Arabidopsis thaliana: one gene and its partner. The protein of the gene in region 2 interacts with the protein of the main gene of each other region in a pairwise test. Each region holds a gene or a part of one and is shown on either strand. Other genes may lie near its edges. The genes, in order: RGS1 and AT4G32285.

Region 1 (3,925 bases), on a different chromosome or scaffold from region 2:
AAGAGATTTCTTCATGAATCTCATTCAACACAAACGCTGTTACCCATATAACGATTGAAGTGGCTGAGACGAGAATTCCTTTCCAGAGATCTCTAAGCTCGTCAAAACGAAACTCTACATGTCGAACTGCTCTTGTGAATGCAATTAAAGCAAGGACATAGAGAGCATGAAGGCCTGCAACTGGGAAAGTCCATTGAAGACCCATGTGGCATTTATCGTTGAGAGGCTTTGTTGCGTGGATAACTAAATGCAAAATCAAAAGCTTTGAGTTATTATTATCCAAAACAAGAGAAACCAAGAACTGCTCAGTACATATAACGTTCAGAACAATTCTTACTTGCAGCTCCGAAGATCCATGGCAACAAAACAAGGGGGAGGAAAATGTATGATTTTACCGGAGGTAGACGTTTCCTACATTGCAAAGAATATGTAACAACCAAACAGCATTAAACTCAATTACACCAATAGAGATAGAATTGGAATCCAAAAACATTTTGATCAACATTGAACCTCACTTGACAAATATGAAGTATAGTTGAAATGCCTGAGTTATACGGCAGCTCATCAACAAACCAAACCCAAGTGGTCCTTCAATCCACACTGAAACCAAATTATACAAGACTTATTGATATAACTGTCAATTTGTTTACGAAGATGAGGAATCATGGTTTCCAAACAAACCTGCCCAAAGATAGCAATATCGCCACCAATGTTTCGTCCTGAATCGAAGCAAATTAACTGACATCTGAAAATTAAATATAAAACAGTCTATTAGTGTAGAAACTCAACAAATGAAGTGATTCTTAAGAGCAACGGAATCATCAAGTCAAGTAGTCTAACCATAATTGAGAAGAGAAGGTTGAAGCTGGAGATAACTTGAATAACAGGGATCCAGAAACTGCTACTGTTAGTACGAGGAGCCTTATGAATCAAACACGGTAACACTGAGCGCGATAACAGCCTAAATAAACAAAGTGAAATCCATCAGATAGAATCAACTTAATAGAGAAATTGAACTACTTGGAAGTTAACTCATGATACAAATCCACTCAATTAGTCCATTAAATCAAGCTTTTGAACTTCAAATCTAAGTTCAATAATCGATTCCGACATAATATATGAATCTTGCTATCAAGATACTGAAACCATCTAATTCCCAGCTAAAAGAAACTGAAACGAAACAAAAGACAGATCTTTTGATACATAACATCAAACACTTACAATACAAAGAGTTAAAATAGCAAAGAGAGACATCGTATGAAAATTTTAAACGATTAAAGACACAAAATTCGAGATTTTGACTCAAGTCAAGAGTCAACAAGCAAACCCAGTAAATGAAAAATCTAGATCTTCAAAACTAAAACCCAAAAATGGGATTTTTAAGCTCGAACACATACACGAAGAAGCAGATGACTGAAATTGCGACGGCGACGTAATCGCTGGGACAACCACCATGTAGAGCACATCCACTCGCCATTTCTATTGTAGCATATCAGCTCTCTCTTCTCCACTCGCTTTCTGGGTTTTTGAGATTTTATTTGGTTTCAAAGCTTGTTGCTTTAATGTCAAGGTAAAGTGTGCAAATTTCTATAAATTCAATAAAAGAAACTTCATTTATCGATGTTGAAACAAAAAGCTTTAAAAGATTCACACTTTCGCATAAGAGAAGAGACGTCTCTGTCTCTTCATTGTTCACGTTTCTCTCTTCTTCTCTGACTTTTTTGACCAGAAGACACTTCCTTTTTCCGGTAACAATTCTGATTGGTTTTTCACTTTTCACTTCTATAATTATAGATTTTTCATACTTGTCCTTTGTGACAAGTTGGTACATTAAAATTACAATAACCACCCTCTATTATAGATTTTTGACATAACCACCCTATACTATTGAGAGATTTCACAAACCCACCCATTAAAATTGTATACTTTTTTAATTCAACCCTGTTGTAAATTTTGTTTATTTCACTCCAATGACTTGATCTTGGAACTATATCGCCACAACAGACCTCCCACCAAATTGTTGAGTGCGTGCGAGGCCATTGGAACGATAAGACTCGACGACAAAACAGCTGCATAACCGTAGACTATACCGACAATCGAAGCCCTGAAAATTTCAAGAAACCGCAAAGAATTCAATAGGAAAACCTCGGAAATGTGATAGAGAGATGCAAGAACATGTTAAAGGCAATCATCTAATATCAAGATTCGGTCTACGCAATTCTCATCAGCATTGAGGTACCAAAATGTTCAGTAAAAACGGCTTACCAAACTGCAAAAGAATACTTTCTTCCGCTCCCGAGATGAAGTAAACCGAAAATGAGGCCAACCGCTACAATACCATTCCAATTAGTTCCGAACAAAGGCATTAATGCACCTCTAAACAGCAGCTCCTGTGAATACACCAAATCAAACCAATGAACGACATTTTCTAAAGGAGAGCCTTTCTGTGTTTTATTGTGATTGTTTATTGTTACCTCACTTATTCCCGGTAACATTGCAACAACAAGGTAATCTAGAGGTTCGAGGGAAGTGAGAATCTGCAAGTAGTGAATACCAAAGGAGACAATAAGCGGAGTTTAAAGAATCGTATAAATGTATATAATGTGTAATGTTTTGACCTGTCGGTTTGCTGCTTCACTAGAATCAGCAAAATCTGGCCAAGATTTAAGTAGCAAGAACCTACTTGACGATATAAACACAACGATTCCAGCAATTAAACCGAGATGCCAAGTTTCAAACCCAACTGCAAGAAAGATCATGCAATACAAAACATGTTTTGGTTACTGAATCTCTCAAAGGATTCTTAGTACACAACATAATCGTTTTCCGAGATGTTACATGGTACATCTATAGAGCAGTCTGGAACCAGTAATCCTTCAGTCGAAGCAACATGAGACGCCTGCAAGCGGTAACCAAATCAGCAAGATACAAATGCTAGAATCACAAAATCATAAACTTTCAGATTTGGGATTCACCTTTCTGATGATCAGACCTAGTGCAGCCATCAAACCGGAAGTTACAGTGCAAGCCTGAAGCACTTTGTCTCGAGGAGCAGCAACAAAAACATCAATGGAGTCCTTTGAAGTTGAAGAATCAACTTGAGCTTCCTCAAATCTTGGAGAAGAAACTTCTTCATCTGTAACATTTCTTAAGCCTATGTCTTTACCTTGTTGTGACTCTCTTTTGAGTTTCTTAAGTGATTTACGACTTGAAGAGGCTCTTACATCAAACTTAAAACCCAAAAGACAAAATAAACAGACTATAGTATAAGAGATCATCTGTTCGGACCAAGAAGCGGCAACATTAAAGAATCTTACTTGTACTCTTCGAGCATCATATAGCTTAGGGTTCGAGCCAACTGATCATCAAGTAAGCAAATTTCAACCAAAAATCTTTGTCGAATTCTCATATATATGATCATATCAAGTTAGGAATCGCACTTACCTACCTGGACGAAAAAGGAGATGAAGAGAAGTTGAAGCTCCTCTGCTCCAAGATTGCAGAGCGATGGAACCCATCCGAGATTTTCGCCTGCCTTCTCAAAGTTTGTCGCTTTGATTCATAAGAGAGACTCTGTTTCCAATATAAAACAAATGAAGAGTTTCACGAAGAAGAAAGCGTCGAAATGAGAGGTCTGTGTCTCGCCAGCTTCATACGGCGTCGTTTATCAGAGAAAACGCACCAAGAAAGAAGAAGAAATGAAACCAAATTTTTATTGTAACATATTTCAAAAGAAGAGGACATGAGTCCTTTTCTGATTTTCTGTACCGAATTCAAAGTTTAGAGCTTTTTTAATCTAATGTGGTGCAATGTCGATCAAAACAAGTTGAATCATTGACAAAAGCTAGTCTCTTTTTATTCTCTCTTATTAGATTTTTACATACATGATGAATAGAGAGACAGAACAAGCGATTTTAAGTATGTA
Region 2 (3,925 bases):
TCTCTCACAAACTCTTCTAGTGTCTCCAACAGCTTGCTCGTAATCCTCTGAACCTCAGGGTACTCAGAAGATCTCGCCACTCCAGTATCCTTACACCAATGGTAAAACGCAATGAGCTCATCAATCTGTTTAGCCGCACTAGCATAAGCATCAAAGGCCTTAACACAATCAGTATACTCCATATCAAAAAACTTGTCAAGCAGAACAGCCAAGACCTCACAGATGTCAGCGTAAAGCCTAAAACTCTCTTTCACAACCGGGTACATGGCAATCAAGATCATCCGACTGTTTTTGGCTAAACCAGTGGGTCGACAAGATAAAAACCGATCAAGCAGCCTCTGCAAATGACCCATCTTTCCAAAAATCCTCTCAGGTGTCATCTCTCTTAAAGGAGTAACAGATTTCTTCTCCTCTCTTGCTCCAATCTCATTCACATCTCCAAAAGACCTCGACCTCTTAGGCATACCAAAACCATTACCAGTCTCATAATCATAAGTTCTTGGAGGAGGAGACCTAAAATCATCCCTAGATCGATTATATCCATCATCACCATTACTTTGGTGACTACTACTACTACCACCACCATTTCTCCCTCTTCTCTCAAAAAGAGCCAATTCAAGCCTCTGATCCAAGTAACTAGCATATGTCCTAACGAAAGCAGAGTGATCCCAAGAGCTAGAATGAGCCTCATCACGAAAATCAGACATATTAAGAATCCTCGTACCTCGTCGTGTAGCGTAGAGGATCTCTTCCTGAAACAGTGGATCTCCTTCGTTAAGAAGACGATGGACAAGCATAAGAGCCTTGAGAGCAACGATCCAGTCACGCGTCTTCTTAAGACGGCGTGAAACAGAGGTGACACAGGCGTGAACGTAGCCACGGGAGAGTGAAGTTAAGCTAAGGATCTCGCGGATATACTTGTCACTAGATTGATCATCGTCGTGGCTTGTAGCTTTCACGATCGCAACTTCCAGATCTGGAGCCATGTTGCTAGCTACCTTCGCTATGCCGATACTAGTCTGATCCTTAACAACTCCGATCGCTTTTCGCATGCTTAGCGCCATGATTCCACTACTACTTAAGGATTCGAATTCTTCAAAAACCACAAACAAAAGAAAAAGTAGCAATTTGGTTGAGAAATTAATGGAGAATCCAACGAGAAATTGTGATTGAATTTTTCTTTGGAGATAAATACCGATTCGCTAGATCTGCGGGGGGAGAGAGAATGATTAAGAGGTGGTAGGTAGAAGAGAAAAATGAAGAAGTCGCCGGCGGAAGATAAGGAGACGGGATCGGGATCTGAGATCAATGAAGAAGGTGAAGAAGATCTATCTTTTCTCAAAAGAGAAGATGACTAAAGGAGCAGATTCGCCGAACCAGTCAAAATGAAGTGTCTAAAGACAGAGAGACACCAATTTAATAAGAGAGTTATGAGTCCAAGCTGACGTGGAGTGATTAGAGCCGTCGATCTGAAGAGACAGATAGAGATGCGAAGGTTTGGTTTGTGACCGGGATTGACGGGAGCCGTGTGTCCGAGAGAGACTCAAGTCTGAACACCGAACGTATCGGTGAAGATGTCTTTTCTTTTTGTTTTGTTTGGTAATTAAATAATTTTCAATTTTTGTAGGGATCTTTTTACAGTTGTTTGATTGTTTCATTCATAACTTTAGTAGATCTAAAGTTGTGTTTCTCTAAATTTCACTAAAATATCTATTTTCCTTATATAAAGATTATGTTTGTCATATTATTTAATTTAAAGATTATAAACTTATGATATAATTTTATGCAAATTGTAAATATAATAACCATTTTAATAAAAGATTTTCTTATATATCATTCATTATTGATTAATATTTTAATCTAAATTACGCATTTTAAGCTAAGATCAATAATATTCATTTTAAATTTTGTTATCAGCTATTCAGCTAATTAAATTGTTTAAGAAATGTATCAGTTTTTATGTCATTTTTTTTCTGTTTACTCATGCTTTTTTTTTTCCCCTTGTTTACTCACAATTTAAAATCGTACTCCGATCTAATTCAAACCAAAATTTAATTACTTGGAAATCTCTTGAATCACATAAAGTGACATACTTACTTGTGTAAAACCCGGACGTCCGCAACCATTACATTCTTATGGTTTCTCAATCAAACAAGTCTATGAAAAAAAAATCAATTCGGTACACACAAAAAGTCTAACATCTTAATTATTATCAGCTAGTCTGTCTTTGACAATTCATGAGTTTTTTTTACTTTTGAATTTTCTTTAGCTTTTTGTCCATGTGTTAGCCATGGATCAGATAACAACAGATTATAAACCATTGGATTTGATACTAAGAACTAGAAGAATAGAGGAAAAAGATCGAGTGGAAATTTAATCAAATGATAGACATTTTAATTACAAAATAAAAAATAATGGTCCGATTTGAACGCCTATCCTTAAAACAAACATCTTGTATATGCACACGGTCGATCTCTAATTATTGATATCCGATGAACAGATTCCGCAAAGATCCTACAAAACCAAAACAACAAGTTAAGTATCAATATATAAGAAAGAGAGTATAGTAGTCATTACTCAATAAGTCATTTTTCTTGAAATATAGAGAAGTAAACTTACTTCCATGTAACATCCCCTCGAAGTAGCCAGTCACCCTCTTTCCCTTGGAAGGTGAATGTATAATTTGTATCTTCTCTGTCGCAATCTTCATCTGATAACCCAAAATTAGATTCAATAGTAGTAAAAAGTTACGTTCTATTTTCAATTGTTTATAGGTTTCTTACTCTAGATTTTGATAAACGTAATTAGTACTTACATTCGGTAAACATAGTGATCAAGGAGTTAGTGAGGGACTCGTAAGAGTTAAAAAGCTTGATATCCACTTTTCTTGCTATTGCCACACCATCCATCTTAACCTTAACATACATTGATGATCTTGATGATATTGACGAAGAAGATGATGATCCCACAGTAGCCGTTGTTGGATTAGATATGTTGTTGTTCATCGCCGTGATCCTCCTACCACGATGATGATACGGGCAATGATGGTGATTACGAATATGACGATGATGATAACTACCATACTTTATCATACATGTTTTTACTGGTGGCCATCCAACAACTTCGCTATTTTCCTCCTCATCACTAAATATTAAAATTAATTATATGTTACAAAAAAATACAAATTATGCCTCTCCATTGAGTTAACTACAAGTCTACAACATCATAACATTTTTGAAAACTACGGAGTCATTTATTATATAATAATACTAGATGTAACTACTTTAACCTAATTGTTGTCAAATACTAAAATAGTCAAGGTACTCACTCGTAAACTATTGAAGACTCGGATTCCAGAGGATCTTCGTCTTCCTCGTTGGGCTGGCCATTCAAGGCAAACAAACGCTGTTTTGGCATATAACAATTTTCCTCCACATTCCCTAACCCAAACGTCGCCTCAAAACGCAGTTTTTCGGTACCCAAACAAGACGCAGCACCCTCGATCGCACAATGCTTGTTGAGGTCAAAGTTAAACCCTAACTTGGAAGATTTATGAGGTGAAAGAGATAGACCAAGATCCAACTCCATTTCTAAGGCAGCTTCGTCTTTGATGAAACTAAAAGCTTTTGTTCTTTTATTATTGGCTTTGGAAAAGGTTGTGTTCGTTGGTGTTGATTGCTGAATTAGAGGATCATGAGTATTCCTATTTATAGTAAAAGGAAATGGGGGCAGAGGTCAAGGAGTAATATATGGCTTTATCAAAAATATACATATATATGTATATAATATTATGTACATTTTATGTAACCCACACAAATATAGATGTGGATAGATGGTATCTTAACCAACACGCTACTATTTATTCTAAACAACTAAAACAGTAATCATTCAAGTATTAGAATATACTAGTAATTTATATCGTTAA

The links.
Region 1: the proteins of AT4G32285 (region 2) and RGS1 interact in a two-hybrid assay, tested with the Arabidopsis thaliana proteins (one large-scale study listed by BioGRID).

What each region holds. Positions count from the first base shown.
Region 1 is NC_003074.8:9,530,435-9,534,359, reverse strand, and holds the start of RGS1 (REGULATOR OF G-PROTEIN SIGNALING 1), read right to left. Parts: upstream 1,748-3,925; 5' UTR 1,478-1,747; coding exon 1,398-1,477; intron 962-1,397; coding exon 841-961; intron 746-840; coding exon 682-745; intron 601-681; coding exon 516-600; intron 412-515; coding exon 338-411; intron 244-337; coding exon 1-243. Other genes in the region: AT3G26085 (CAAX amino terminal protease family protein), read right to left, coding at 1,963-2,104, 2,266-2,390, 2,475-2,537, 2,619-2,743, 2,839-2,899, 2,976-3,358, 3,449-3,518.
Region 2 is NC_003075.7:15,583,142-15,587,066, reverse strand, and holds the start of AT4G32285 (ENTH/ANTH/VHS superfamily protein), read right to left. Parts: upstream 1,625-3,925; 5' UTR 1,196-1,624; exon of another isoform or gene 1,094-1,195; 5' UTR 1,065-1,093; coding exon 1-1,064. Other genes in the region: IAA29 (indole-3-acetic acid inducible 29), read right to left, coding at 2,439-2,514, 2,620-2,710, 2,816-3,144, 3,329-3,588.